Ovis aries: one gene and its partners. The protein of the gene in region 1 interacts with the protein of each later gene in a pairwise test. Links are inferred from orthologs where the notes say so. Each region holds a gene or a part of one and is shown in the gene's direction. Other genes may lie near its edges. The genes, in order: PDE6D, RAP1A and RND1.

Region 1 (10,644 bases):
GCAGGACTAGGGGCCCAGACCATCGCCATCTGCAGCTTTGGGCCGTAAATCCATTCTCCCTGCCTAACTGTGGCTACCCATGGGGTACAGAGCATCTTTGCATATGCTGGTGCCGAATGCTGTACACCGTCTCGTCGAATTCTTAAAACAACTCCAGGCCTGTAACATTATTCCCATTTTTTTAAGATCCAAAAGCCAGTGTGTCTAAGTCTGCTTTGAAACCCAGGCTCTCTGAAGCCAAAGACCATGTTCTTCGCCTCTATTCAGAAAATGTTTAAAAATAAGTAAAAGACTGGTTGAACCAACCATGATTCTGTGACCAAAATGATATTTGTGGCGTTGCATCTGCTATTTACCAACTCCCCTGGAAGATGGCTAGGAATGCCACCCAACTGAACACCTAAGCTGGCTCCTTTAACATGTACACCAGACTAAGGTCTTGAAAATGAAAAGAAAGGGGAAAAAAAAGGGCCCTATTTACCTTTCATGAATTCAAGTGCAGAAATCAGACAGCGGCAAAGGTGCGGAGCACCAACACATTCATTTTGAAAATTTCTTTAGCGCCTATTATGTTCTAGAAGGTTCTATGAAGATAAAGTTCTTGCCCTCAAAAAGCTTCAATCTGTTAAGTGCTATGAGAGAGAGAGATGACACTTTGGAAGCACAGAAGAGAATGCGCTGGGGAAGAGAAAGTGGGCATCTTATGGGCAAGAGCTGAGAAGAAAAGAGGTCTGCACTATGTAGCGTATACTGATGCAAAAAAGAAACCCAGAGTGACTGGAGCCCAGGGATCATGGGTGAGAGATGGGGGCTGCAGAGCTGGCATCAGGTCATCTTGTGTTCTTGGAAACCACATGCAAGGCACTATACCCATAAAAACCTAAATACAGCAAAGTTCCTACCTGGGAGAGTTCATGGTTCTGGGGGAGACAGGCCTGTCTGGCCAGGACAGATGGTGCCACAGGTATCCCAGGAGTCCAGCCAAGGCTCTCCTGACTGTGCCCTGGGGAGAGGTGATTCAAGGCAGCCTTCTAGAGCAGATGAGGCTTGAGTTGAGCCTGGAAGAATGAGCAAGCAAATCAGAAAGAGGACAAGCCATGTAAAAGAGGTTTTCTTTTATCTTAGAGGCACTGGGGAGTTGTTGAGGGTTTTTAAGCTGTGGAGAGGTCTGAATAATTGCCATTTTGGACACTAGCTGCTATAGGAATGGACTGGATATGGAGAAAACTAGCAGCAGCAGCAGCAGCAGCAGAGGCTGGGAAACCCTTGAGGTGACTGATGGATTCCGGTTAAGAGATGTGAGATCTTGAACAAAGGTGGCAGCAGTTGGGCTTGAAATAGAAAGGTCCTTGTTGGAGACGTTTAGACCATAGAATCTATCAGACCTGGCAGCCAGTTGAATGCAGGGATAGAGAAGGAAGATATCACCCAGGATTCTGGCTGAGGAGGCCAGAGCTGTCTGGAAGTGGTGGTAAGTGAACAGGGCTGAGGAGGAGAAGGGACAAATTTGGTGTTGGAAGGAGGACTGATAAGTCTTGTTTAAGTTCATAAATATTCTGGCTGTGCCTCTAGTTCCTCCAGAATAATGTTCATATTTGAAGGCTCAGTATGGCTCCCCCACCCCATCCAGCTTTGTCTCATTGCCCTCCCCCCATTAGAGCTCAAACTCCATGCCATCCCAACACAACAGGACTCAGATCTTCCCTCTCTGACACCAGAGCCTAGGCTCAGACTTGCTGTCTCTTCCTTTGTGCAGTGCTCTTCCCTCATATTTGTCTGCTCAAATTCCACCAACTATGTAGGTAAAGAGTTAAACAATTTAAAAAGTACTAATCATGAAAAGGAAACACTGAACTATGGCCCTTCATTAAAATTAAGAATTGCTCTTTCTCAAAAGACACCAGTACAAGACTAAAGGGACAAGCCACAGACTTGGAAAAGATATTTGTAAAGCGTGTATCAGACAAGGATCTCCGTATCTAGACCATATAAAGAACTACAAATCAACAAGAAGATAATCAGCCCAATTTAAAAAGTGGGCAAAAGACTTGAACAAGCACTTCGCAGAAGAGGATAGCAAATAGTCAACAAGCATATGACAAGGATTCAACACCAAAGACAATGTAAACAAAAATATAATGGGATACCACTTTTAGTCAAAATGGCTAGGATTTTTAAAAACTGACACTGTTCTCTATCGCCAAGGATAAGAGTCAGCCAGAACTCTCTTATGTTGCTGTTTAAGGTGAAAATTGGTACAAATATTTTGGAAAACTGGCAATATCTACTATTGCTGATCACACACCCTCCACACAAGCCAGCAACTTCTCTCCTACAAATAAGTGCACGAGTCCACAAAAAGAACCACTTAAGAATGTTCACTGCAGCTTTGTTAATAAAAGCCAAAAATTGGTAAATGAAAACGTAAATGTCCATGAACAGTAGAGAAGATAAACAGTGCTACATACCTACAATGGAATACTACTTAGCAATTAAATAGTAAAAATAAAAAACTTAGGTACTGCTACATACAGCATAGATGAATCTCACAAAAATACTGAACAAAAAAAGCCAGACTTATACTGTACATAGGAATTCAAGGGACTTCCCTGGTAGTCCAGTGATTAAGAATCCACCCTCCAATGCAGAAGACATAGTTCAGTCCTTGGTCTGGGAACTAAGATCCCACAAGCCATGGAGAAATAGGGCCCGTGCACCACAACTCCTGAGCCTGCCAGCCCTAGAGCCCATGCTCTGCAATGAGAGAAACCACCATGATAAGAAGCCAGGGCACTGCAACTAGACAGTAGCCCCCACTCACCTAAACTAGAGAAGGCCAGCATGCAGCAACACAAACCCAGCTCAGCCAAAAATAAAGAAATAATACATAAATAAATGAAATTCAAGAACAGGCAAAACTGATCCATGGTAATAGAAGTCAGAAGAGTGATTATCAGGACTGAAGGATGACTGGGAAGGGGCAAAGTGGTGCTGGAAACATTATCTGGATTTAGGGGTTCATGACACAAGTGTATACATAGGCAAAAACTGTGCCCTTGCTGTATGTGTTATATTTCATTAACAAAAACAATTTACAGATAAAAATTTTAACATAGAAAAAAATCCTACTCCTGCCACCTCCTCCATCAAGTTTTGCCAACTGAATATATCTTTTCACGGGGGCCTCTGTAGCATTCTAATGTCCTTTCTTTTGTACCGTTCCTAACAGTTCATCTTGAATTTCAGTGGAATCTCTTTATTTCCCTAACTAGATGGTTATCTTCCTGGTGGTAGTGACCATGTCTTTCACCTTCTACCAACAAAGTCTGACAAATAACAAAAACTGAAAAAGATGTTTGTTGAATCACACGGAAGGAAAAATTGGGTGGGTGCCCAGATGGGCAAAAGAGGTAAAGGAAGAGGAAGGAAGGCCTAGAAAAAGAGTAGCAGATCGCTAAAGAAACTTTAGCTTAAACTACAGTATTTATCTAGTTTCTGAAATCATATTAAAGCTTTACTGTCTGAGCTACCAGGGAAGCCCTTGAACACAGAACAAATCAAAACACCAAGTTTTACCTAGACTGAGGATAAACAAAGACTGCACTCCTTCACTTGCAGGAAAGTCACCAAATAAATGTTCACCTAATATCCACTGAAGAAAAACGTACAACCTAAAACTTGCAAGTAATGTTTTATACAGGGACCTTACTGAGGACTATAGCCCAGGAGACAGCCTCATATAGCCCTGAGGAACTGCTCCAAAAAAGAAAGGGAGGAGCCAGGATATTAGCAGTTTTTGCTGAAAAGAGAGCTTGTAGTTGAACATCAAAAGATTACTGCCAATTAACAAGAAACAGACAACTAGAATGATTTCTGTGGTTTTCTATGCATGGGAAGATGCAAGTGTCTGGGCTCATTGAAATCATTCCCTAGACATGCATCTTAATTATCTAGAGCAAGTTCCTATTTTTCTCCCTCCTGAATCCTCCTCTGGGCCCATTTTCAGCGGTGGCTTCAGTGGCTGATGGCTTGACGGTGGGCAACGTTTGTTGTTTACTGAAATGTCAGGCAACATTTTTTTGTCCACAGTATCCTCTGGGTGTTTCAACCTTGATAGGAAAACTTCACCAAGGAGAGGAAGATCGCATAGCCATGTTGCTAAAAATATCACTACCCTAGTGTAGTGCAAAAAGCCCAGACTGCAGGAGTCTTAGAGCTGAATTTTAACTCTGCCCCAACTTTCTGTGACCCCGACAATCTCTCTGCCTCTCTGGGCCTCAGTTTCTTCATACGTAAAATAACAGAGGTTAGATTAGCAAATCCTCTGAATTCTGACTGCATTGATAGTCTGAGTACACAACCTTTACATCTCTTGGTCCACCGCAGGAGCACACCAGAAATCCCTGAGAAATACCTAACCGGCTCCCCAGGCCAACAAACAAGTACGGCTTGAAGGAGTCATTCTGTTACATTCTTTTTCATGATTTAATCAGTGTTTGTGTTTGTTGTTTCAGCCTTACCATGATTTGCAGGAGATTTCTGGGTTCCATGTAAATAGAAGTTACTTGTCTGTGGGCTGTCATCTTTTGAGGCTGAAGAGGATCTTCCTGCCCGGTTTCAACCCCTGGGATTCAGAAACCACCAAGCCTACAAGCAGATTTAGGGGTTTGCGCACACTGCGCGGCACACTGGAATCGAAGTTAGAGGAACTGAGTGCGGGGAATGCTGGGATTTGTAGTCCCTGGGTTTTCTGTTGCGTGCTGGGATCTGTGGTCCCCCCGGGCGCCCCCTGGAATGCTGGGAAGTGTAGTCTCCACCACATCGCACAGGGCAACGGGCTGTCATCTCAAAGCCCTACTGTACCCAGCCGCAGGAGAGCCTCTGCAAATCTGAAGCAAACTCTCCTCTGGGACAAACTCTAGGTAACCACGCCGAATGAAAATTTTGTCCTACGGGACTTCCCCGTGAGGGCCCTTCCCATTGACGCTCTTCGTCCCCCTGCGAAGCCGCTGAGTGTTTCTATTGGTCGATCAAGATGCCAATCGCCGAGGCAGGCTTCCTATTGGCTTCAAGGCGGGCGCTCAGAGGCTAGAGGGAAGGAGAAGGGATAAGGAGCGGGAGCTGAGGGGAGGGAGAGGCCGGTTTGGGTCTGGCCGCTGCCGCTGTTCTCCCGAGGTCTTCAGGCCGGGCTGCGGCTCCGTCCTCAGTTCCTGGGCACCGTCTGCGAGGCTCCGCCAGGCCAGCGTGAGAGAGCCGCAGGCGGCGGCCGCCGCATCATGTCAGCCAAGGACGAGCGTGCCAGGGAGATCCTGAGGGGCTTCAAACTGTATCCGCCCGGGAGCGGGGCGGGGCCGGGAGGACTCGGGAGGCGGCCGCTCGCTGAGGAGACGGGCCGGGGGCGGGGGCCGCGCCAGGTGGGCACCCGAGGAGAGGGTGGCGGGAAAGGGGAACAGGAACGGCGTCCGGGGGCCCCCGGCGGGACCCGGCGCGGGAGGCGGGGAAAGGGGCGTCTGGAGGAAAGGAGGGGACGTTGATGGGAGACCTGTGGGTAGAGGCAGAGGAGCCGCCGAATGGGGCTGGGAGAGGCTCCGGGCGTCGGAAACCGGAGTCGGGGAGGCGCGCTTGGGTCCGAGAAGGGAGGCCGGGAAGGGGCTGCGGCCCGTAGGGGAGAGCCGAGGGGGCGCGGTGGGCTGACCTCGAAGCCCAGCAGCCTCTGGCGGGAAGCCCACCGGGCAGCAGGGGGAAAAGTGACTTGGAGCGAGTGACCTTGTGTGGGACAAATACAGATGCTGGTGTTGAACTCTCAATGCGAGTGGGGTTCTCGCATCCCACTCCGCACCCCCCAACCCCACCCCAGACGCCACTCCCCTTCTTGTTTCCACAACTTCTCTTCCTCACTTGTGGCTCCTTCCAGGGCTGGAGCGGAGGAAGGTTGGGAGTGAGGAGTCCGAGATGGACCTCACCTTAACTCTGTCTTGGCCCTTGGAGGCGTTGGACGGTCGCTGAGTCTCCCTCAGCTCCTCAGTTGTCTTTCTAGCGAAATGAGGACCCTAGATGTGTGCGTGAGATGCCTTGAGGCGTTTTGGGTTTGCACTGGGACTCCTGGTGAAGGGGTGTGTCTGCTCGCACAAGTTTGTGTGGTTAAGGCGTAGACATGCTGGAACTGTCCAGCAATTGTTTGATTACGTTGGGGACACTGTAGGGTTTAGTAGGGTGTAGAAATCATTGCCTCGGGCCTGTTGTGGTGCTGCAAATACTACCTTCTTACCATAGTGAAACTGTGTTTGAATGGAGTGTTTATCTGTGACCATTTGATGCAGATGGAAAAAGTGCAATCTTCTCCGTTCCAATCTCACATTTTCCTGCTGACCTTAATCTCTTCTCACATCCTATGTTTACAATATGGAACATTCTTCAGTTCGTCTCTTAATGAACATATAGTCATCCCTGTAGGGCTCCTCCCCTGGAGATTTAGTCAAGCACTGTTCTCTGAGCTGACTGTGTTTCCACAGAGTCCATTTCACCCCTGCAGATTTTCATTGCCTTGTCATAATCAGAAACCAAGTTGGTAGTAAGTTTTAGAACCCAGCAGCAAAAAAGTTTAACAGAAAGTTTTGGAGGTACAAATTAAGTTTTTCAAAGGGGAACTGACCTACTATGCTTTTTTTTTTAAGGGAAGGCAATATTACCTAAACTTACTGCCATTCATGATAAACTTTAAATACTTTCATGCAGTGAAGTTTCCTAACAGCCTCTTTTACATATTAATAGCTTCATGTACTTCCCCTGTTTCTCTTCCTGATAGTGCCTATAGATAGGAATGGCTGAAGTGTTACAAAAGCTATGACGTGGATTTTATTTTTCCCTTAAGTAATTTATATTGCTACTTTACATTTATGCTATAAACAGTAAACTGAAGACTATAAAGAATTGAGAGATTTCAGAAGCCATGTTTTTATCTGATTGGAGTTAACATGTTGCTGAAAATAAGAACGGGTCTTTCAAACCAAAAAGGGAAAGTTTGAGCTACTCACCTTCAGTCTTGGTTCTTGAATGTTGTTCAAGAGAAACTTTGGCTCTTGAGAAAGAGGCAAAGGACAAATATGGGAAAGAATAGAAAGTAGAACCTGTGTTGTTTAGTGCATCACGAAACAGGCTTTCAGGGAAAATTTGACCGGGGCTGATTAAATCACATGGGGAGCAGCCACCAAGAAAATTTAGCGTGGAGACAACAGAATATCCTCCTCTGGTAGCTTTTATTCACATCCGAGAATTAAAAGAGAAAAGAAAAGAGTTCTAGGATTTGTTACTACCTTCAGGGAAAAATAAAATTAATATTTTAATAAGAAAATACCTGTTATCCACCTTTTATTGTATAAATTGTTCCAAGTATCTTTTTCTGTAAGAAGAGTCATTTCTACAAAAAGAAATCACCATTTTATTCTCCTGCCAACAATGTTGATAGTACTTATTTTCCACATTTACTGTGTTGGTCTTTTTCTTTTTGTCAGTTTTAACAGTAGATGACATCTTGTTTTAACTTGTGTTTCCCAGATACTGCTATCTCTGGAGAGGTAACAGCATAGTGTTTAAGAGATACGCTGGCTTGAGAGCTTTACTATCTGCAGTGGAATTCCAGCTCAGGTTGTGTGTCCCTGAGGAGCTTCTTTTAACTGCTGTTACAATTTCCTTAGCAGTTAAAAAAGGATAAAAATAGTATCTTATCTCCTAGAGTTATTGTGAGCATTAAATTAGTTGATATCTAAAGCATTTAGCCAAGCACTTGATGCCTGTAAGCACATTGTATTAGCTGTTATCGCTGCCATTGTTATTATTAGAAGTCACAAAATCTGGCCATTTCTTTTTCTTCTGTGAATTGTTTGTTGATTTTGTTTTTGCCCATTTTACTATTGAATTGCGTATTTTTCTTATTGCTTTGTAGGTGTTCTTTATTGTAATGTCAATCCTTTGTGTATATTACATATTGCCAATGTTTCTCTCGACGGTTTACTTTTTTTTTGTTGAACAGAAGTTTAATACTATAAATTCATCAATACTTTTCATGTGACTTTTGAATTTTGTGTCTTGTTTAAGAAGACCTTTCTTATCTTACTGTTAATAAATATCCTCCTATGTTTTTTCTCTTTTCAATGTTTAGCTCTTTAATTCACCTGAAATGTATTTATACATATGGTAGAGAAGTGAAGTCACTCAGTCGTGTCCAACTCTTTGGGACCACATGGAGTGTAGCCTACCAGGCTCCTCCCTCCATGGGATTCTCCAGGCAAGAGTACTGGAGTGGGTTGCCATTTCCTTCTCCAGGGGATCTTCCCAACCCAGGGATCGAACCCGGGTCTCCCGCATTCCAGGCAGACGCTTTAACCTCTGAGCCACCAGGGAAGTGCTAATACATATGGTATGTGGTAGAAATCTAATTTCCTCTGCTGTTTGGATAGACCGCTGTCCACTACCATTTACTAAGTAGTTAGGCCATCCTTTCCCCACTGTTTTGAAAGCTATCTTTGTCATGTACATGTACTAAGTCTCCATAAGACCTGGATGTATTTTTGGAATATTTCTGTTTCACTGATCCATTTAGCTCTTCCCATTCCTTTCCTGTATGCATTGGTTTAATATAGTTTTATAGCATGATTTAGTATAGTTTACAATAGGATTGATATGTCACAGTTATGTGTTTTAAGTCATATAAGTTCCTTATAAATATTCATGTACTGTTTATACAAACAGAGCTTTGCCCATGTGCTTATAATAGGTATTCAATAAATATGAATAACAATACTTCATAAAGCAGGGATAGTCTTTGTGTCTAAGAGAATCCAACATGAACTTTATATTTGTCATAAGTTTTTTCAAAAATGAAATAGTAAAAAAAAATTTTTTGGCTGCTCAGGCTTGCAGAATCTCAGTTCCTGAGCCAGGGATCAAACCCATATACCCTGCAGTAGAAGCTCAGAGCCCTTAACCAGTGGACCACCAGGGAATTCCCAAGATTTCTTTTTCACATCATTTCTACACCACCTGCTTTTAGCTCATACACTTTAGGAACTAAAGTTGTGAATAAAATATGACTTGGGGAGCAAATGTGATTCTCCTGCAAGGTTTTGAATTTGAGCATTTAAGTAGCTAATATGGAGATTTTGTTTGTGAATTCTGCATTCTGTATTTTATTCATTCAATAAATGTCTGTTGGTCGATTTCTGAACAGGACACTGTGCACTTAAAGGACATAAAAATGAATGAGTCACGGACCCTTCAGAAGTCTAACTATTTTTGTGTCTGTTTAGAAGGGATATCTTATAAAGCAATGCATTTTTAAAAATAGTATTAATTTTTCTTTTACAGACTCCAGCTACCTAGATATGACCTTTGTTAATATTTTAATATAGTCTTCTAGTGTAGCTAATATTTATTGTATTTCCTTTTATTAAATGGAATCATAAGTATTATTTTGGAACTTTTTAAACTGAACAAATTTATCATGTTCATAATTTTTGAAGATAGGTATTAATACTTTGAGTTGCAGTCAGTGACATAGATTTGTCATGGAAGCCTTATACTAGTTTTGTAGTGTAGGCTGTAATGCACTGTTCTGCCTATCAGATTAATTTTTCCTCAACATAAATCTATAATTTTATTAAGTTAATATCAAGAAACTGACACACTTCCAGAAGAAAGAATTATGCTCTTATGATCTCATTATTTTTAATCTGTCTGGAATTTGCTTTGGTATAAGGTATGAAGCAGTGATTTAATTTTTTAATAAAGATTGCTAATTATCTTTATTTCTTCATTTCCTTATGCTCTAAATATTAATATAATATCCAGAATATAAGTGACTGCCTACAAATCAATAAGATAAATACTTAATTCAAAATAGGCAAAGGATATGAAAAACAGTTCACAGAAGAAAAATGCAAATGACCAATGAATAAATTCAGAGATGTACAACCTTCTTAAAACAACAAGGGACTTCCCTGGTGTTCCAGTGGCTGAGACGTCTGCTTCCACTGTAGGGAGTGTTCCTCGATCTCTGGTTGAGGAACTAAGATCCCACATGCCTCATGGTGTGACCAAAAAAAAAATTTTTCCCAATTAGTTGACAAAAACTTAAAAGATTGATAATAGTCAGTGTTGGCAACTATTGGGGAAAAGGGCTGCTTTGTTTGTTCTGTGTGTGTGTGTGTCTGTGTAAGACCTTATGGAAAGTGATTGGTATCTATCAAAAGTGTATATGTAGCTGCAGCAAAGCACAGAGCAGTCTTTGGAGCATGGACTATAGATTCAGATTTTATTACCTCTACCACTGTGACCCTAGGCAGAGCCCTCAACTCTGAACCTCAGGATCCATTTCATTTCTTTAGAGGGTTGTTAAAAGGATTAGATGAGAGTGCATATAAAATGATTGGTACAGTGCCTGGCTCATAGTAATAAATGTTAAGTGCTATATTATTTGCTTTATTAATACTTATTAACAGTAACAGTAATGTTAATATTACTGTAAGTGAAAAAAGTGAAAGTGTTAGTTGCTCAATCATGTTCAACTCTTTGTGACCCCAGGGACTGTAGCCCACCAGGCTCCTCTGTCCATGGAATTCTCCAGGCAAGAATAGTGGAGTGGATAGG
Region 2 (10,646 bases), on another chromosome or scaffold:
ATGGATTAAAGGTGGCTAAGATTTGCTGCATGAGTGACTGAGAAAGATAATGCCAGGAGCAGGAAAGCAGAATAAGGAGGAAAGATGTTTAGTTTCTGTGAAACATCAGGCAGGACAAAGTACCTACACAAATGCTCGGGTGAGTAAAGCAGGGCACAAGGGACTCTCCCAAGGCTAGTAAAGCCACACAATCCCCTGCCCTCAACCTCCCCCAGGTCAGTGGATCACAAGGACTGTGACAAGACAGGAGCCCGAGAGCCTGGTATTCCCTCAACCCCGAGGTACCTGCCTGGACCTCATTTCTCATAGACACCTCACTCACCCTTTCCCATGCTCGATTCTTGGAAAGTCCCCTTACTTCCACTTACTTGATAGCTTCCTCTTGAACTATTCTTTCCTACAGGGACCACCAAACCATTGACTCCACTACTTTTTAACTTGCTCTCTGGGAACCCATTCCAATATTCATTTTTGCCTGGGAAATCCCATGGACAGAGGAGCCTGGTGGCCTATAGACCACGGTGCTGGAAAGAGTCAGACATAACTTAGCGACCAACAGCAAAACAGCTATTCCCTCCCAGCTTAGATTCTAAGGTCTATCACTATAACTACTCCTTGACTTACACCCCTCCCCTTTTCAGGACTTCCATCAGCAAAATCCACCCCTGGCCAAATCTACCTCTCCTTCAACCCCGCAAGCTATGGAATGTGGCTGGAGAAAAACCATACAACCTTGCTGAGTGGTCTCACTTAAATATAGGACCACCAACTCAAGAAGACCCTCAGCCTTGTCCATACTACACTTCCTCTCCTTGAAGGAATTCTTTCTCACTTCTTCCATCTTTCCCACAGCTTCCATCTCATATACCCAACAGCCCTTCCCCACTCACAGCTTCCTATTGCTAAGAATAAAAGAAAGCTCAACAGCCCCGATTGACCTCATCAAACCCATGGAGGCGACTTGCACAAAGAATATTTGGTACAAACTGGGAAAAGAAGCACACAGACTTTGTATGTGTGCATGTGATGATACGGAGGATTTTCTAAAAGGCACTGCCTCTGCAGTTGGAGAAATTAGAAAAGGTGCCGCTTCCTCAAGGCTGATTTGGCCTCAAAACTTGGTTGGAAAAACAGAGGCTGGATTTCAGCTCCCACATGCTTCCTGCACAGACATGGCCTGAATAGGCCATCACCAAATTTAATACCTGACCTAACTGTGTTTGTGCCCATAGACGTTGCCTTCTCTCCTAAAATACTGTCCTTGCTCCTATCCACAGTCAACTCCTCCACTTCTACGCTAGGTCCCATTGCTTTTTACCCACTGAAGGACAAGCTTTCTCTATCTGCCCCCTCTTATCTTCTGCACCATCACCTTTACCTCTCTAAAGGATCATTCCAGCATACCAACATAAGGAAACAACTCCTATCTTTAAAATACCTCCCCTAAATAACAAGTGAACTAAAGAGCCTCTTGATGAAGGTGAAAGAAGAGAGTGAAAAAAACTGGCTTAAAACTCAACATTCAAAAAACAAAGATCATGGCATCCAGTCCCATCACTTCATGGCAAATAAATGGGGAAACAATGGAAACAGAGACATACTTTATTTTCTTGGGCTCCAAAATCACTGTAGATGGTGACTGCAACCATGAAATTAAAAGACGCTTGCTCCTTCGAAGAATGGTTATGACAAACCTAGACAGCATATTAAAAAGCAGAGACATTACTTTGCTGACAAAGGTCCATCTAGTCAAAGCTATGGTTTTTCTAGTAGTCTTTTGGGGGCTTCCCTATAGCTCAGACAGTGAAGAATCTGCCTGCAATGGAGGAGGGTTCAATTGCTGGGTCAGGAAGATCCCCTGGAGAAGGGAATGGCAACCCACTCCAGTACTCTTGCCTGGAGAATCTCATGGACAGAGGAGCCTGGCAGGCTACAGTCCATGGGGTCACAAAGAGTCAGACACTACTGAGTGACTAACACTACTACTACTATTATGTACGGATGTGAGAATTGGACCATAAAGAAAGCTGAGTGCCAAAGAATTGATGCTTTTGAACTGTGGTGTTCGATAGGACTCTTGAGAGGCCCTTGGACTGCAAGGAGATCAAACCAGTCAATCCTAAAGGAAATCAACCCTGACTATTCATTGGGAGGACTGATGCTGAAGCTGAAGTTCCAGTACTTTGGCCACCTGATGCGAAGAACTGACTCATTGGAAAAGATCCTGACACTGGGAAAGACAGAAGGCAGGAGGAGGGGAGGACAGAGGACGAGATGATTGGATGGCATCATCGACTCAATGAGAAAGCTTCAGGAGACGGTGAAAGACAGGGTGAAAGCTTCAGGTGAAAGACAGGGAAGCCTGGCACACTGCAGTCCATTGGGTCGTAACGAGTTGGATGCAACTGAGCGACTGAACAACGATCCCAAGTACTCCACTCTCTTAGTGGATCCTGAGGGCAAAGGTCCTCAAGAGCTGCTTAGACTTGCTATAAACATTTTTCTTCCTCACCTCCCATCTCTTGTTAACACACCCTAATCAGAGTTTCTCCTCCATGACTTCACTGAAACTGCTTTCCTCAAGGACATCAGCGTCCTTCATCAGGTCAAATGCAGTGTTCAAACCCTCAGTCCTCACCTTATTTATTTCGACAGTATTTGATAACGCTGATCACTCCCACTTTCCTCAAACAATTCTCTTATCTTCCAACACTCCACCCTCTCCTGGTGTGGCTCCTATCTGGTAGTTCCTTCTCCTCTTCTACAGAATTTCCAAAGGTTGGAGTTCATTTTCTTCCTCTCCACTAGCTACTCTCCCTCCTAAGGGATTTTATGTAAGACCTAAGGCTTAAAAAGCATCTATGTGCTGATGATTCCCAAATTCATATCTTCAGACTCATATATCCATCCAATTGTTTACTCAACATCTTCATTTGGATGTAGAACAAGCACTTTATGTAGCATATGAAACAGAATTCGTACTTCCCTCATTCCAAATTTTCTTTCCTTTAAATCTTCTCCAGCTCACTAAATAATACCACCACTAACTTACCCTTGAGGTCCTGAACTTAAGAATCAGCCATGAGCTTTTTGTTCGTTCACACATTCTCTGCCAAATCCATTCCAATTCAAAGTGTATCTGAATACATTCTGATACACCCCTTCTCACTTCTTCTCTGCTGCCATCCTAGTCCGAGCAACCACAAAGAGCTTCCTCACTGGTCTCCTTGAAGACATCTGTGCTTCCCTGTTGTGCATTTTACACATAATACCAAGAGTAACTCTTTAAAATGTGAACTAGATTCGGTCGTTCCTCTGCTCACCCTCCTGTGGCTTTCTGTTGCTCTTAGTAACAGCCCATAAGGCTCCATAGGATCTGATCTCCCCCATCACCTCTCTCAACCTACTACTGCTCTGTGGCTAGCTGATTACACTCAGCCATACTAGCCTTTTTTGTTGGTCTTGCAACATACCAGGCTAACCGCGTACAGCGAGGTTCTTTCAGCTTGGTAAGACTCCCATCCCTTTCCTCTCCCCTCCCGAGGTATTTGCTAGGCTTATTCCTTCATGTCATACATGTATGTACTTATAGGGCTCCTCTGAGGGGCAACACTTGGCCATCTATGAAGTCATCCTATTCCTGGTTTTATTTTTCTTCACTTGACTTATCACTTTCTGAAATTTTTATCTGTTTGTTGTCTCTTCTCAACCACTAGAATGCAAGCTCCATGAAGGCCTTTCAGGTCAGTTCAGTTCAGTCGCTCAGTCGTGTCCGACTCTTCGCGACCCCATGAATCGCAGAACGCCCGGCCTCCCTGTCCATCACCAACTCCTCGAGTTCACTCAGACTCACGTTCATTGAGTCAGTGATGGCATCCAGCCATCTCATCCTCTGTCGTCCCCTTCTCCTCCTGCCCCCAATCCCTCCCAGCATCAGAGTCTTTTGTCAACTCTTGGCATGAGGTGGCCAAAGTACTGGAGTTTCAGCTTTAGCATCATTCCTTCCAAAGAAATCCCAGGGCTGATCTCCTTCAGAATGGACTGGTTGGATCTCCTTGCAGTCCAAGGGACTCTCAAGAGTCTTCTCCAACACCACAGTTCAAAAGCATCAATTCTTCGGCGCTCAGCTTTCTTCACAGTCCAACTCTCATATCCATACATGACCACTGGAAAACCATAGCCTTGACTAGACAGACCTTTGTTGGCAAAGTAATGTCTCTGCTTTTCAAGATGCTATCTAGGTTGGTCATAACTTTTCTTCCAAGATGTAAGCTTCTTTTAATTTACTTCCATTTTTCTCTGCGCCTAGGACAGTGCCTGGCACCTACTAGATACTCAACTAGTACTTGTCAAATGGTCGTATTCCCTCCAAAATTCTTCTCCTCCTGAATCTTCGAACCATCTCTCATTTCATTTCCGGCCTCCCCACTCCGTCGCCCAGCCCAAGCTAAAAGCCGAATCTCCCCACTCCTCCCCCGCGGCGTTCTTAGCTCTTCCACCTCCTTCCTGCGCGGCCCCTTTAAGCGGACTCCGGAAAGCCGCGGGGAAGGCGGGGCCGAAATCTTGCCGACGCCGACTCGAAGGGGCGGGGCGGAACTTGGGGGCGGGGTCTGCGTGCTGCGTGCGTGCGCGCTCTGGAGGCTCCGCCGCCGCTGCTCTCGAGGCCGCTACCGCCGCCGTCGCCGCGTAGAGCCGGAGCAGGAGCCACGGCCGAGAGGAGGGAGGAGGAGGAGGAGGAGGTGGAGGAGGTGCCGGACCGGGGGGGGGTGAGTGAGGGGCGGGGAGCCGGAGCCGGCCCCAGAGGGAGCGAGGGGCGCGGGTCGGACGAGTCCGGGCCGAGGCGGCTCCTGTCGCCGGTCAGTCCCCTGGCTCCCCCTTCCTCCTCCGTGTTCCCTCGGTGTCCGGGGCGGCGGCCCGGGGGCCTGGCCGGCGGGAGGGGCCAGGACTCGGGGAGGCCCGGCCGCCGCCACCGGGGCCGGAGCCAACCACGCCCGCGGACCGAGCCGGTCGACTGTGGCTGGGCCTGCGGGAGAGGGACGGGAGGGGCCCGGGCCGGGTGTGGGAGAGAAAGAGGACATTGTGTCCCCCACCCTCCAACTCCCCGAGGTGTCATGGCACAAGCCCATTTCCCTCGCCATCTCCCCGGACACAGTGCCCTCTCCCCTAGCTGCCTGAGAGAGGTACTAGATTGGACATCGCTTCGTTTTTCTTCTTGCTTGTACCCTGCCTAGGGTCAGCTCTTCTTTCAAACCCAGTTCACCCTTTGGGGGGCACGCGAAGAAGAGAGTTGGAGGGTTGGGTGAATTTTCTGACCTCCCTTGACTGCTGGAGAAGTGTGGGTAGACGGGAGCGGTGCCCTTTCTGTGTTCACTTGTCAGGGTTCGGGATCTCGCATTTCTTCATTCCCCTAGTGCACAGAGCTGACATCTTTACACCCCACTCCACCTCTCAGCCCCTTTCCCGCCCTCTGTCCCCCACGTCTTCCGTAACATGCCATGTGTTCGCCTTTTCGGCGTTGCCTTTCTTGGGTCTCTGCTTCTTCCCTGAATTTTGTTAGGGAAGAGGTCACCGTGTGATTTTTGTCTTCTTCAGGCTGAGACTGGTAGGAGTGTCTTTTTGCCCCCTTGTTCAGGAAGTTAAGGACGGTGTCCTCAGCTGAATTGTGTAATTTACTGCTATGGGGAAAAGACGAGGGGAAGACATCAACTCACAGGGCTAAGAAGCAGAGTTTAGGGGACCTTTCGACCTCTTGGAAAAAGAACTAGCGTTCTGGAGTCATTCCGTTTGGGGGGAGAAGACCATTCTGTCACTGCTTTGAAGGAAGTGGGGTATAAAAAGAAAGGGAATAACAGGGCAGGAGGTTAATGGGTCACAGCCGTACAGGTGGCCACAGTTTTCTGTTTTCTGGGTTTGAGATGATTCTTTTTTATCACAGTAAGAGTAAAGTATCAGCCCTAGGTTTTAACGTGAAGCTCCTACCTTCAAAAGAATGCTGAAGGGCAGTCTCAGAAGGGATGCTGCTGGAAACAGGATTTGGAAACTTTATTTTGGTTTCCTGTCACAGTGTGTGGGGGTGGGCACACGTGTGTGTAGTTTTTCTTCTCTTTTGATGTAACTGATATCTGTGGATATTTTGACATAATAAGCACTAAATCAGGCCCTGAGCTCCTTTCTGTCTGTATTATGATTTTCTGTACCACTTTCTGTTTGAAATTATATTTGTGTTCGCTGGATTTCTTTTTAGTCTGGTGTTTCAGTGAATCTTGTTTCCTATGTATTTTGAATTATGTACTACAAAATACAGTTAAGTGTAAGGTGTGCTAAAAATCACACCATGCCCGGCACATGGTAGGCACTTGGTATTTCTTGAATGAAATGTGTTATTGCAAAGATGTGTCTGGTTTTATATATTTTCTATCCTTTGAGAGGTAGCTCAAATTAGATTTCACTTCACTTCCAACATACAAAATACTGATTATTAACCTTTTCTGGGCCACTAACACCTTTGAGAATATAATGAAATGCACATATAGACTCTCTCCTCAGGAAAGAAGTAATAGACATTTAGGTACAGAATTTTACATCTTCAGGGACTCTCTGAAGCCAACCATGTGTGTTTGTCTTAAATGTAAACTCTGAGTATTATTCAGTTCTATATTAAAACTGTTCAGAAGGCTTTGTTCACCTTCTGTGTGACCTCAAGCATGTGTGTCTACCCTCACAGACTTATTTGGGTCTTTGGGAACAAAGATTTTAAGACTGATGTTATTAACAGTTTTATGGGAAAAGTTCTCATAATATTTCTAAACAGATGGCTTTGAGGGAGATAAGATTGTCATAGTCACTACTGACAGCTTAAAATCATAATCACAACTGACTTACATTTTTTGTTGTTTAACTCCTTAGCAATATGATCAGCACTTAAAAGTGTTCACAGATCATTTTTCCTATTCTCTTGCAAGTTTGTTTATATGCATGTTTTTTTGTGTAGTTAATAATTATTGTATCAGTATTCAGTATCTGTTTAACAAGTGCTTTTAAAATGCCTATTATGTGAATAAAACAAAGTCCTTGCTATCATGGAGTTCATACACTAAACAGGAGAGATGGGCCATAACCATATAAATACAGAATAAGTCAGATGGTAAGAAATACGCAGAGAGTAAAGTGGGGTTAGAGGATACAGAGAGTGGCAAGGAAGGGTAGCTAGGGAAGGCATGATGCTGGAGTAGAGACCTGAAGAAAGTGAGGAATTCATGCTCTCCAGGGGAAGAAGATAACAGGCAGAGACCACTCAGTGTACTTGGCCTTTTGGAGAAGGCCAGTAAGCAGGAGGGAAAATGAGAGAACTTGAGATTAGAGAAGTGGCCGAGGCCACTGTAAAGCGTGTAGGCAATGGTCAGAACTTTGAATTTTACTTTGAATGAAATGGGAAACCACTGGAGGGTTTTGGGTAGAAGAGAGAACTCTTCTGACTAAAGTCTGTGGGAACTGTTCTGGCTGCTATGTGGAAGTTAACTTGGGGAAGGCAGCAGGGAGTGGCAGCAGGAAGACCAATTAGGAGGTTAATGTTCATTTTAAACCTTTTTGCATGGTTGCAAATTAGTCTGTCTACCTGCCCTTGGGCATATAGATACTTTCCTTTTCCCCTTATTGAAAATAACAATGAAATGAACACTTTTGTATGTTCAACAATTTTCTTTCTTTTTGAATATTTCCTTGGAATTTATTTCCAGAAGGACTACTAAATCAAAGTATATAAATATACTTGTCTTCTTGGTGTATCTATTAATTCCTTCAGAGAGTAGTTTGTGCTAAAGTGACAGCCACAGTTGTTGATCTGAAGTTTCATGCAGTGTCACTTGAGTGAATATTATTTAATACTTGAACAATTTGAATTATAAAAAGAGACCTTTTAGGTCATTAGGTTGAATTTTCCAGTAGCTAGCTCACATGAGTTCATAATGTTTGTTCAACTCTCTCTTTAACATTTTAATAACAGGGTGCTAATTGTTGGGGATAACAGTTGAATTAGACAGGGTCTCTGCCCTCAGGAAGTTTTATATTATGTAATAATTTGTGATCTCATAGTTAAATAACTTAAAATCTTGCCAGTGTTTACTGTTACTCAAGAACTTTGTTAGTATATGGTTGGTGATCTTTTATAAAGAATAGATATCCCAGTCAAGCACCTAATTTTTCATATTAATTCTTTTTTCTTATAAAAGGACTTTTCAATGGTATCAGCGATTAGTTTAATTTCTGTTTTGTATGTTTTTAGAATCTTAAATCTTTGATAGCCTCATGTTTGGAGAAGGAAATGGCAACCCACTCCAGTGTTCTTGCCTGGAGAATCCCAGGGACGGGGGAGCCTGGTGGGCTGCCGTCTCTGGGGTCGCACAGAGTCGGACACGACTGAAGCGACTTAGCAGCAGCAGCAGCCTCCTGTTTTGTTCTTTGCAGTAAATTATGCAACTAGCACTTAGTTGAGGACTCTCATAGTTGAATTTTTAAATTGTTGTAATTCTTTATAAGTTATTCAAAACACAGAGACTATTGTTTCTGTTAAGTCAATATTGCCTCTTTGAAATTTTATTTAGATTATGAGGAAGGATGATATCAGTCTGTTTTAATAGAATTATACCACTGTGATGGCCTTGCTAAGCAATTCAGAAGTCTAAAAGGCTTGATTTGACATGAGCAGAAACTCCAGCATCTGTAAAGTGAGTGGGCTGAGCCAGTGGAGTTTACCTGCAAGCACCGAGCACTGTGTCTCACACATGCTAGGGACCTAGCAAATGTCCACTGAACCTCATATAACCTCTAAGCTCCCAGTTCTAAAATTCTCATTTTAGAAGGTCAGTAAAAATATCTCGTATAAAGCATTTATATCTTAATGTTGTGGTGAGTTTAAAATTGTGAACATAAACTTACTTCCTCCTAATGTTCCTTCAAATTGAACTCATCAATTTTAAAAAGAGTTATGGCATATTGTCAAGTATTTTCTGCTCGTTCTGATGTCATATACTGCTATATGACTTAATGCCAAATTCGTATATTATGGAAATGATTACTGCTTAAAATAAAGATACTTAAACTTTCTTATGTTACTGAGACAGATGAAGGGTCCATTTTTTTCCCTTTTGTGTGTGTCTGAAATTTGGAGATTACAAATGGTAGTTTTTGTGCTTTTCACTTTCATACACAGAGAAAGTATTGGCCATTTTACATGTTGAATTTTTGTAATAGTGGCTATGAGTATGCAATGAAGGTTCACACATGCTCTCTCCAATCCCGTTTGCATTCAGTTTTGAGATGACTGATTAAGAGAGCAGTTTGTTTCAAAGTTAAAAGATCCAGATTAGTATTGAACCTATAAACTTAGTTTATCATAATGTCTGATCCATTAAGCAGTTCAGCAGAGAACTGTGCCTTGTTCTCATTTCCACTTGAAAATGGGCCTTGTAGAGGTAAAAGGTGCAGAGGAAATTGTGTATGATGGTTAAGGTGGAGTTGAGATAGTGTACTTTTGTTAAGCGGTCTAAAAACCATCCTTTTATTATAATTTTCAGAAGTACATGATATACACATGGAGGATTAAATATAGTCTATGAAATTATTTTCAATTGTTAGACTAATGGCTTTTTTTAAAGTTCTAATGACTTATTTAGGCTGTATAAATTTAGATTAGATAAATCTGGAAAAGAAGATTTCTTTGCATATCCAGTTTTTCCAGGGATAGAGATAGTTTCCTATCTCCACCCTATTTATTTAGTTCACATTGATAGAGAGTGGTTCAAAGTGTGGAATGGTAAAATTAACCAAATTTAGGATTAAATGCATAATTCTATGTCTGGTTTCAGAATATATTTAAATTAGGCTATACCTCATAAGGTTAGGAATGTACTAAACTACACATAACTGATAAAACACACTGTTGGATTAATTAAAACTTGAGATGACTTACTTTGAATTCACAAATACATACCTGTGCCTGTAACATGCATGGTTGTTTGCAGTGCTATGTTACACTCACTCAGAACTGTAGCTAGGTTATCAGTGACAAAAGTATATACTCACTCAGAACTGTAGCTAGGTTATCAGTGACAAAAGTATATACTCACTCAGAACTGTAGCTTAGTTATCAGTGACAAAAGTATAAAGTTGAAGAGACACAAAGAACTGGGTTACAACTGTTTCTTTGGACAAAGCCCAGATGCCACTTATATAGGATTCTAAGTTAGTAATAGTAGGAATTCTTATTGCAGACTGAACATTTCAGATCTGTCAAATGTGTGATCCAGAGAGTAAATTCATTCACTATTTTTCATGGTATTTTTAAATTCATAGGATCATTCTGTTCTAGACAAGTATTGTATAGAATATTAAGCAAGCAACCTTAACTTAATTATTTTAGCAGCTGACATTTAACACTAATCTTTGGGTTTTATGTAGTTTTCAGTGTCTATCCCAAATCATTGATGTCTTTTAAGCTACCTTTTAGATTTCAGTGTGTAGTTGTGGAAATATTGCATAATTTCATTAATAGATTTCAGATTCAGTCATTGAACAGATGTTTCAGTGACCCAGTATTAAGCTGTTTGATGGAAACTGAGACATGGGGCTGTAGTTTCTACTCTAGTATT
Region 3 (10,519 bases), on another chromosome or scaffold:
ATGTTCTCAGGCAAACTGCCCTACCCCCTGAATCATCTGCTTCAGCTGGTTACATGATTCTTCAGTCCTTGGGCGAGCTGAGCATTTTCCTGCATCTCTCCTCTCCAGTCTTTTTTTTTTTTTTTTTAAATAATGTTTGTCTGTTTATGTATTTGACTACCTTGGGTCTTAGTTGCAGCTCTCTGTAGCACTTGCTTCAATAGTAACAGCGCTCTGGTTTAATTGCTTCACAGCATATGGGTATGTTCATTTCCAGAGCAGGGATCGAACCCACGTCCCCTGCATGGTCAGGAGGATTCTTAACCACTGGAGCAGGGAAGTCTTGCCATCTCCAATCTTGCATTAAAATTGAAGCCCAGGAGAAACCACTCTTTTAGATGAGGCTTCCAAGATCACCCAACCAGATCTGACCTCTCCCTTCTCAGCACTCCTACAGCACTTGTTTCAGTTACCCGCCAGGCTCTTGTTTTATCTCTTCCTCATAAGCTGTAAACTCCATGAAGATGGGGACCGAGTCTTAAAATCTTGTTTAGCACTCTAGTGACTGCTCCAGCTAAAAGGCCCCATCAAAGGGTCAGGTGTTCCCATGGCTAGGAGCCAGGGATCCCTGAGGTCATGAGAAGTTATGGTTTAGAACTGAGAAGTGGGGCGCCTGAGTCATATTAAGGAGGGGTGAGTGGGCCTTGCCTTCCAGACTCCTGGGGGACACAGGTGGCAGTGTCCCTGGGAGCTCTTTGTAAGGATCCCTAGGGCAGAGAAAGTCCTGGGTTTGTGTACTCTGTGCTAAGAGTCAGAGTGGATTTGAATTTGCTACCACCCTGAACACCTTGGTGTATTACGTCACTGTCCTAGATAAGGACCTTATCACAGTAATCAGAGTCAAAAAAGATAGGACAGCCCTGAGCTTTGAAGGTGTGGTACACACACACTCACACACACACACACACAAACACATACACATACACTCACGCACATGATATCCAGGCTAGTGGCTTTTAAATTGTGTTCCCTGGAGTTTGTCCCCTAGGACAAACTGGGGGGCTGAGTGAGTCCCATCCCAAGTCCCTAATTCTGATTTAACCGCAGAAGTTTTGCTTTTCATCTTTTTGTGTTTGGCAATACTGCATGAGATGTAATTTGTAAAAGTGTTTAATACATGTTAACAACACCATGGAGATGCAATCAGCAAAATCCAGACTATGGAAGACACTATAGAATAAACAACGTGGTTTCTGCATCAGGTAAACTATAGGGAAGAAAAGGAAATGGAACCTATGAAATAAAAGATGCTTAAGAGCCATATCAGTGAAATTCAGTGAGTGGACTTTGTTCAGATTCCAGTGATTTAGTTAACTAAATCAATGAATGACACAATTGGGGAAATTTTAGCACTGACTGACTATTTGGTGATTTTTAAGGAGTTATTTATTTTTGGTGGGGATAATGGTATTTTGATTATGTTAATGAAGAATCTTTTTATTTTTCAGATGAGTACTGAAACCTCTATGGATTAAATGATATGACATCCAAATTTGCCTTACAATTGTCCAGTGAGGAGGTGTACTGGGGAGAAGCTGGGTGAGGGTATAGGTGAAGTAGGATTGTGTGGATGATTGTTGAAGCTGGGTGATGGTTACAAATGGGTTCGTTGTATTTTTCTATTTCTTTAAATATTTGAACATCTCCACACAATAAGTTTTTTTCTAAGGAAAAAAAAACAAGTTAAAGGAGATTGTAAAGAAAATTTGAAATTATAAACTTATTTATTTTTTAAGTAACCGCTTTGGACTTCCCTGGTGGCTCAGTGGTAAAGAATCTACCTGCCAATGCAGGAGGCATGCGTTCCATCCCCAGTCCGGGAAGATCCTGCATGCCGAGCAGCAGCTGAGCCCGTGACCACAACTACTGAGCCTGTGCTCTAGAGCCCGTGCTCCGAAATGAGAGAAGCCACTGCAAGAAGCCTGCTCACCGCAACTAGAGAGCAGCCTGCACAGCAACAGAGACCCAGCCCAAAATAAATAAATAAATAAAATGTCAGGAAAATTACCAGCTTTATCAAGATATAAGTCACATACCATACAACTCACTAATTTAAACAAGTCAGTGGTTTTCAGTATATTCACAGAGTTGTACAATCATCACCACAATCAAATTTAGAAGCGTTTGTCACCTCAAAAAGAAACCTCGCACCTATTAGCAGACATTCTACATTCCCCCACAACCCTTACAGCCCTAATCTCCTTTCTGTGTCTTTGGATTTGTTTTGGATGCTTCATACAAGTGAAATCATATAATATATGGCCTTTTGTGACTAGCTCCTTTCACCTTAGCATAATGTTTTCAAGTATAACCTAAATTTTCCTGGTCTTATAGGAGGGCTTCCTTGGTGGTTCAGTGGTAAAGAATCTGCCTGCCAATGCAGGAGACCTGGATTTGAGTCTTGGGTCAGGAAGATCCCCTGGAGGAGGGAATGGCAACCCACTCCAGTATTCTTGCCTGGAGAGTTCCACGAACAGAGGAGCCTGGCAGGCTACAGTCCACATGGTTGCAAAGAATCAGCCTCATAGGAAAATACAACCTTATACATTTATTACTCTGGTTTTGGATTTTTAAAGAAAGATACATGGAAGAGGTTTAAACAAACTTGGGGGAGGTAGCCTAACTGCTAAAAAAAAAAAAAAAGGGCTAAAAACCCCTTCGTTAGTCCAAACCCCTCACCTTACGTTCAAGGAACTAGGGGCCCAGAGAGACTAACCCAAACACACATAGCTTGTTAAGGACAGAGCTGGTCCAACATCCAGACCAGCTGAGTTTTGGTTCCATCCTCCTTTCATGTTGCCACACTGCCTTCTGAACACACACCCCCTCCCCACATTTCCCACCATAATTCATAAACACGTGACCCACAAAATATCTACGGAGACACATCTTGACAAGGTGAAGGGACCTAGAGAAGAAGTCTGGAGAGCTCTCCCTTCTGCTCAACGTCAGTTTTACTTCAGTCCTGATCCCCAGGAGGCCCCATGATGGGGGCTGCTCCGTCTCACAGCTCAGGCTTTCTGCTTTCCTCCCCTGAAATGCAACCACTCAGGGAAGCAGTGTTAGCACCAGCTCCCAGAATTTCTATCTCAGTGGACCTCAGGAGTGGCAATCTTGTTAGAAGTTAGAGGAAGTTGTTTGCATAGCAAGAACAGTTTTTACTTATTTGAATACTATTTGGAGTGCCTCGGGAGCGGGTGCGTGTAGGGGGAGGCTGGGAGAGAACATGGGGAGAGAGGGCTAAAGCCTTTGGGGCTGCCATTGGAGGGAACCCAGTTAAGGGTTAAGAGGCTGTATGGGAACCACACTGGAGCTTCCAGAACTGAGTTCGGATGAGATGGAGGGAGGGAGACACCGGGAAAAAGTCATGCTGAGGGAGAGGACTCCAGGCTGAGGCAGTCTGTGATCTTACAGCTGTGCCTGGAACACTCCCAAAACATGTTTATGGGGAGCTCAGAGAGGCTGTCAGGCTGCTGCAAAAGGGCAGGAAGAGGACAAATTCTATAGACAGAACATTATCTTAGGGCTGAGGATGAGACCTGGGGAATGGTAGGGGAAAGAAGATTCCAAAGAGCCTGCCTGGGAGAGGAGGGTAGCCAGCCAATGGTATCATCTGGTAACTGACTTTCTACCTTGGAGATTCCCTGAAGTGATCCCTGATCCCTGGAAGGGGGGCCTTAGGGCAGAGGACAGTGCAGGACTTAGCCCCAGGACCCTCAGCCAGGCAACTTGGACTAGACGCAGGAGACCTAGGTTTGATCCCTAGGTGGGGAAGATCCCCTGGAGAAGGGAATACTACCAACCCCAGTATTCTTACCTGGAGAATTCCATGGACAGAAGAGCCTGTATGGCTACAGTCCGTGGAGTCCAGGAGGTCCCAAAGAGTTGGACACGACTGATTGACCAACACTGTTGGGGCTTCCCAGGTGGTGCTAGTGATAAAGAACCTGCCTGCCAATGCAGGAGACATAAGAGATGCAGGTTCAATCCCTGGATCAGGAAGATCCCCTAGAGGAAGGCATGGCAGCCCACTCCAGTATTCTTGCCTGGAGAATGCTATGGACAGAGGAGTCTGGTGGGCTACAGTCCATAGTATTGCAAAGAGTCAGACACTGAAGACTGAAGCTACTTAGCATGCACACACATTGGTTAGGCTACATTCTCAAAATACTCTCCATTCTCCTGTCTATAGAGGGTGTTGGCAATCCTGTCCCTTCGGGACCAGGGAAGATTTTAAACATCCTATGTAACAGGGAACACACTCCCCTCCCCTGCCCCAGTGGGGCAGCAGTGATGGCAAGTCAGAGTAAAGCTCCAAGGGAATAGGGCTCAGGCTGTGCTCCAGAGGCACTGGGCTTCCCAAGGTGAAGGGACCCAGAGAAGTCTGGAGTGCTCCGCTTTTGCCCAGGGTCAGTCTCACTTCAATCCCTGATCCCCCAGGAGGCCTCATCTAGACTGTTTTGGTTCTTGAATAATCAGTAGGTTATTCAAGCTGGTTCTGTCTAGTGGAGAGGCGGTAACATGAAGGGCTCTGAGGGCCAAGGGCTGGCAGGCAGTTACGCAGCTCATCTCAACCTCATTTTGCCCTTCAGCTTCCGAATCCCGAAGTCCCAGGCCCATTCTTCCAGTCTGGACTTCAACCAGCTGACACACGCAGTACAGCAGCGTCAGTAGGTGTCAACCTGAAACTGGACCTGTGCCTGATTCATCCAGGAAGCTGAACCCAAGAGGCAGAACAAACATCCCTAAAGCAGCTCCTGCCAGGCCTGGGGTGAGAGGTCGTCTGGCCAAACAGACAGCAACTTTGTTTGTTTTGCCCTCTTCATGCCCCTCCCCACTTGCCAGACTCCCTCATTCCTTTCTCTGTGCCCATCTCTGGGTCAGAAGCTCTGTGGGTTTTTTCCAGATGACGCAAGAAGGTTGTTTAATTTATGTACTTTTTAGTGAAGGTGATTTCTGAGGAAGAGACTTGGGTGTTGACAGGGGTCCAACCGAGTTAATAAGGGGGTCCAGCAGGAGATTCTGTGAAAAGAAGCCAGAAGCGGGAAGTGGTCCGAGTGGGGATTAGATGGAAAGAGGGGGCCAGAGATTTCTGGGATCACCCCTTCCCCAAGGAAGTGCCACCAGGCTACAATTTAGGCAAGTCCTGTTCTGGAACAACTCCAGCTTGACTTCACTATCCACATTCTTGGCTAGTTTGTTGTTTTTGACACTAATTGGTGGACACTCAAGACCATTAAAGTTTGGTTCATTTTCCCCCACCCCAACCTCATACAAACGCAGAACAACGTGGGAATTCCCTTTCAGAGGAAGCAAGAAACGGTGCAGCTTTAAGAGAAAGGGAAGGGAAGAAGAGGGTTCTGACTCAGATCCTCCTGCCATTGGCTGCTAGAGGGGATCCCACCTCAGGGATTGGCTGTGACAGAGTCCGCCTTCTCTTGTGATTGGCTCAGCCATGGCAATATAAGGTGGCCGTACTGGCCTCTTTCTCAGTTGGAGAGAGGCAGGGAATCCGGCTGGGGAGTGTGCTGAGACGCACCTGGCGTAACCATCTCCTTTCTGAATCCGAGTCCAGGTCCCACGGAGGCTGCAGCCATGAAGGAGAGACGGGCCCCCCAGCCAGTCGTGGCCAGATGTAAGCTCGTTCTGGTGGGGGATGTGCAGTGTGGGAAGACAGCAATGTTACAGGTGTTGGCCAAGGACTGCTATCCCGAGGTGAGTTGCTAGCCCGCCCGCTGGCCACCTTTCCTCTTTGACAGCCTGCTGCTGCGGGTAGATTCCCACCTGCCCAGGGGAGCTGTTTCATCCCACCCCACCCCTCCCCATCCTCAGCCGCTTTCTGGCTGGAGGACCGCCCTGCCTTAGCTTCCCCTGAGACCTGTTCCACTTCTGCCGCCCAGCTGGCTCCTCCTCACCTCTTCACCCATAGGTCCCTGATCAAATCCCCTCCTACCTCTCTTCATCCTGGAGTCTGCTCTTGGGAGAGGGAACTGGAGGCATTTGAGAGTCAGGGGTTTCTTCTTGACGTAATACCTGCCGTCCCTTCACCCATTCTATGCGCTTGTCCCCAGGCAGGCTTCTGCTGCCCTGCTGGTCCAAGGGACCTGTGGAGAGAAAAAGAGCTAGAATTGATTTGTGGCTCTGAAATTTGTAGACAGGCAAATCTGGGGACAAGAGGAATCCGTGTGTGTGTGTGTGTGTGTGTGTGTGTGTGTGTCTGTGTGTGTGTGTGTGTCTGTGGTGTCTCCCTGACCGTCTAGGATATGGGGAGATTGTCCCTGGCAGGAAGTCTTTTACATTTCTCACTTTGATGGAGCAAAGTGCCTGAGCCTCTACACCCCTCTGTCCTGTCCCACGTGGTCCCTCCTGCCCCAGGTATCCTCTCCTTTCCTGCCACGTTGGTGTCTCACTAGGGTGAGTGGCTTCTTGTGTAGCCAGCACTAACTGGAGGGTTCTGAGGGTTGGTACATCCAAGGTGTGAACAGTTCCTCTTTTCACAGACGTACGTGCCCACTGTGTTTGAGAATTACACAGCCTGCTTGGAGACAGAGGAACAGAGAGTGGAGCTCAGTCTCTGGGACACTTCAGGTAAGACTGCTGGCCCCGAGTGCCCCTTTCCCACCCGCACTGGTCTGTTGCAGTCGCTGTCTCTTAGAAATTGTTTTTCTCTCTGACGGGGGGAAGGAGTATGGTGCTTGCCCGGAGACTGAAAGAGAGAGACTTGAAGATTCTTTGAGGGGTGGGGTGGGGCTTGGCTAACTCAGTTGGCTCATCCAGGGGTGGAGAATGGATGAACCCCAGAAGCTATCACTTCTCTTGGTCTGGCTCCATCCTTTGGAGAGCTGGAATGGGCAGGGGAATGGACCCCAGAAGACTATTGGAGGAGGCAGTTAGGGCTTCTGCATTTCCACATTCTGCCACCCAACACACGCACTCACAGCCTTTACTGCCTCAGAGCAAAGCCAAATAAAAGGCAGGAGGCAGTGGTGGCTGTGGCAGGGAGACAAGTCTGTTTTGGGGAAAATGTTGCTCCTGACTCAGTTTTCTCTTCTGCATTTCATCTCTGGCCACTGCTGCCTGCCTGCCGCAGCTCAGCCCCACTGTCATGCCTCTGCGGCTGAGGGATGAAGCGATGCATCGTCAGTGTTTTGGAGGGTGGGGGCTCAAATGGGTCATGGTCATGTTGTACATAGCAGGGGGCTGTTGGCTCTGACTAGGCTGAGGTAGAAGATGCTCTATCTTTCTGGAATGTGAAAAGCAATGTTTTAAGTCTCTCATCCCTAAATCTTCAGTGCTAGGCTATCCTTTGCTTTTCACTCTGACCCCCTTTCCATTATCTCTTTACCCCAGCCCTTTTAAAATAGACTGAGCTCGGAATCAATTAAAGGCTAAAAGCCAGAAATATGAGAAAGAAAATAAAATCCATTTCTCTTCAAAAATGCTGAGTTTAAAGAGGAACTATAAATCACTAGGGGTTTCCTGTTGCATATAAATATGCCATCCTACTCCTCCAAAGATCTATTATTCCCATCATCCAATTTTGAGGATTGGAAAGACTGGAGGTAGGATATGGGTAATCAGAAAATGAGACATCCCCCTTGCTCCCCACTCCCCAAAACAGGACAGAAATTCCTCCACCTGGTGTGCTTCCCTCTGTTGCAGTTCCAGGGGTTGGGAGCCAGCATTCTGATTATCCGGACTGTGCTACGCTGGCTGGATTGAGCTGGAATGCAGCTCGGCTGCATGATATATGGGTTTTCATCTGCTGTACTCTGCCCACCTCTCAATCTTCCCAGAATCTTCCTGCAGCTCATCTCTTTTCACTACCACCGCCCCCGAAGAGCCCCTCCCCCTCCTCCCACAGTCAGAATGCAGTCCTGGAATCCCAATTCAGATAATGGAAGATCAGCAAGGTGGTCTCTTTTCCCTGTGCCGCATCCCCACCCCCCAAGTTCCCAAAGGATGCCGGCTGTCCGTCGGCGGCCTCAAACTCCCTCTTTCAAATGAGATGCCCGTAAGGAAGGAGGAATGGCAGGGCTGTGTGGGATGGGGCTTCCCAGCACGGGGGCCATTATTCACTTGCTGGTCTTAGGGGAGGGGGATCGCTTAGAGCCAGAAAGGAGGCCTCCTCTCCTCCTCCTTCCCCAGGGCTGCAGTGTTCCCTTTGCTCAGTGATACTGTGATGAGACCCCACTTCATCCCTCAGAGAGGGATGGGGGCTGATTGCTGAAGGAGCAGGCAGTTATCCCAACTCCCCTCTACTCCTTTTTTTGAACAACCAACCCCCTGCCTCAGCTTGGATTCCCCCCAGTTTCCATGGCGATTGCGGTTCAGGGAGAGGGGCTGCTTGCTATTCTGAGCACGGATTGTCTGGGTTCCAAAGCTGCTACTGTTCCTTCCCCAGGGTGGAGGGGGGCAGGTTCAAACTCCAGCCTTCTCCCACATTGGACCACCTGGGTCTGCACTGCCTACTCCCCTCCCAGCCATGGACCCTTATTCGAGAGCCTCTAAATCCCAGCTGTTGGTGTTGCTGTCTTTGAGAATGCCTCCCTGAGATCATGGGACAGGGGGCTGCAACTTTCCTTTTGCCCTTTCCAGTGTAAGCTTATTTGGGTGGGAGGAGCAGTGGGACCCTGAATTCCTGATGCTCTCCCTCCCCTGCCTGCCTCCTAGAGTTCTGACCCCATGGCAAAGAAGCAGGGCAGCCAGTTATATAACAGGCAGATGTGTTTCTTCACTGGGGAGACCCTGGAGCAGAAGCCAGGAGCAGAGGTTGGACATCAGGCAGATTCTAGAAAAGAGACCTTAAACAAGGCCTGGTCTCTCTGCAGGAGTAGGAGGCGCTTCCCCTGGGACTCAGAAAACTGGTGGACCTTCAATGAAGCCCACTGTAGGAGATCCAGACAGGGCCCGATTATACTTCACGTCCCTTTTATTTTGCACCCTTTCCCTTCTTCAGGATTAAGGAAGATGACCTTCTTGCACTGTCTCTTGGCAGGTGGTCAGGTGCCAAGCTTCCCATTGCAGCACCTTCCCCTGGGAAATAGGTGGGGCCCTCTCCCTTAAGGGACCAAGCATGGTGTTCCCAGTGCTCTTTGGGTTTAGGCCTCTAGGGGAGGGAAAGTGCCATGATTTACCATCAGCTCTCTCTCCCCTCTACCAGGATCTCCCTACTATGACAATGTCCGTCCACTCTGCTACAGTGACTCGGACGCAGTATTACTGTGCTTTGATATCAGCCGTCCAGAGACTGTGGACAGTGCACTCAAGAAGGTAAGGCTGAATGAATTCTACCATCTCTAGCTCAGCTGGAGAACAAAAAGGAATCTTGGGGACCTGGTCATCTAACCCTTCTTGTATAGGAAGAAATTGAGGCCAGGGAAGGAAGAGATTTGCCCAAGGCCACACCATTAGCTACAGTTCTGGGACCAGAGGGGCTTCCCAGGTGGTTCAGTGGTAAAGAATCCGCCTACCAGTGCAGGGGCACGGGTTCAGTTCCTGGATCAGGAAGATTCCCTGGAGGAGGACATGGCAACCCACTCCAGTATTCTTGACTGGACAATCCCATTGACACAGGAGCCTGGCAGGCTACAGTCCATGGTGTCGCAAAGCGTTAGACACACTGAGCCACTAAACACTGGGGCTAAACCCAGATCTCCAGTCCCTCTTCATCCTGCCTTCGCCCCTATCCTGCACTGATCTGCCAGAGGCCCAGCAGGGGAGGGTGGTGTTGAAGACTCAGGAAGTGAGGGTTGAGAGCAGAGAACTTTCTGGTGATATGGTTTGAGAGTTGGAGGAGGGGCCTTTGGGTGGCAGCTTTACAGACCTTGATCACAGGCCTTCTGGGACTTAGCCAGGCAGGCCTGAGCTGAACTGCTGGTAGGAAATGCCTCAGTCATGGTAGTAAGGTCTACCCATACTGAGGAGTCCCAGGAAACCTTGCGGAACTAGCCCAGTTTCTCAGAAGACTCCGGGATTATCTCTTGGAAAGAGACTGGTCGGCTTCTTGGCTTTCTGGACTTGTGCAGCCCTTTGGGTTGAGGGGGTGGACCTGTGCCCCATATGCTTGGTGGAGAGTGAGAGATTTGTCCCTGTGCTCTCTTTGGAGACTGGGCCGTTGAATCTGGGGACAGACTCTTGGGTCAGCACTCCTGTGGCCCCAAAGGCCTCATGGGCAGGAAGATGATGTAATTAGTGCAGTGGCGATGCTGTGACTCACAGCGAGGGCTGGGGATAAGTGGAATGGTGTATGTGATGTTGCCAGCTGGGTTCCTCCGGGTGTCCGTCAGCCACTGACTCTCCTTCCTTCCTCCTTCCTATCTTCTTGCACGGCTCTTCAGTGGAGGACGGAAATCCTTGACTATTGTCCCAGCACCCGTGTCTTGCTTATTGGTTGTAAGACCGACCTGAGGACAGACCTGAGCACTCTGATGGAGCTGTCACACCAGAAGCAGGCGCCCATCTCTTATGAGCAGGTGTG

Evidence for each region.
Region 2: the proteins of PDE6D (region 1) and RAP1A interact in a two-hybrid assay, tested with the Homo sapiens proteins (2 studies listed by BioGRID). The link is inferred for Ovis aries from reciprocal best matches to the Homo sapiens genes PDE6D and RAP1A.
Region 3: the proteins of PDE6D (region 1) and RND1 interact in a two-hybrid assay, tested with the Homo sapiens proteins (2 studies listed by BioGRID). The link is inferred for Ovis aries from reciprocal best matches to the Homo sapiens genes PDE6D and RND1.

Annotation. Positions count from the first base shown.
Region 1 is NC_056055.1:233,479,265-233,489,908, reverse strand, and holds the start of PDE6D (retinal rod rhodopsin-sensitive cGMP 3',5'-cyclic phosphodiesterase subunit delta), read left to right. Parts: upstream 1-5,113; 5' UTR 5,114-5,276; coding exon 5,277-5,326; intron 5,327-8,328; exon of another isoform or gene 8,329-8,400; intron 8,401-10,644. UniProt on the Homo sapiens protein: Promotes the release of prenylated target proteins from cellular membranes. Modulates the activity of prenylated or palmitoylated Ras family members by regulating their subcellular location.
Region 2 is NC_056054.1:89,056,056-89,066,701, forward strand, and holds the start of RAP1A (ras-related protein Rap-1A), read left to right. Parts: upstream 1-4,636; 5' UTR 4,637-4,766; intron 4,767-4,777; exon of another isoform or gene 4,778-10,052; intron 10,053-10,096; exon of another isoform or gene 10,097-10,646. UniProt on the Homo sapiens protein: Counteracts the mitogenic function of Ras, at least partly because it can interact with Ras GAPs and RAF in a competitive manner. Together with ITGB1BP1, regulates KRIT1 localization to microtubules and membranes.
Region 3 is NC_056056.1:137,323,837-137,334,355, forward strand, and holds the start of RND1 (rho-related GTP-binding protein Rho6), read left to right. Parts: upstream 1-5,530; 5' UTR 5,531-5,634; coding exon 5,635-5,754; intron 5,755-6,539; coding exon 6,540-6,627; intron 6,628-9,202; coding exon 9,203-9,312; intron 9,313-10,379; coding exon 10,380-10,514; intron 10,515-10,519. UniProt on the Homo sapiens protein: Lacks intrinsic GTPase activity. Has a low affinity for GDP, and constitutively binds GTP. Controls rearrangements of the actin cytoskeleton. Induces the Rac-dependent neuritic process formation in part by disruption of the cortical actin filaments.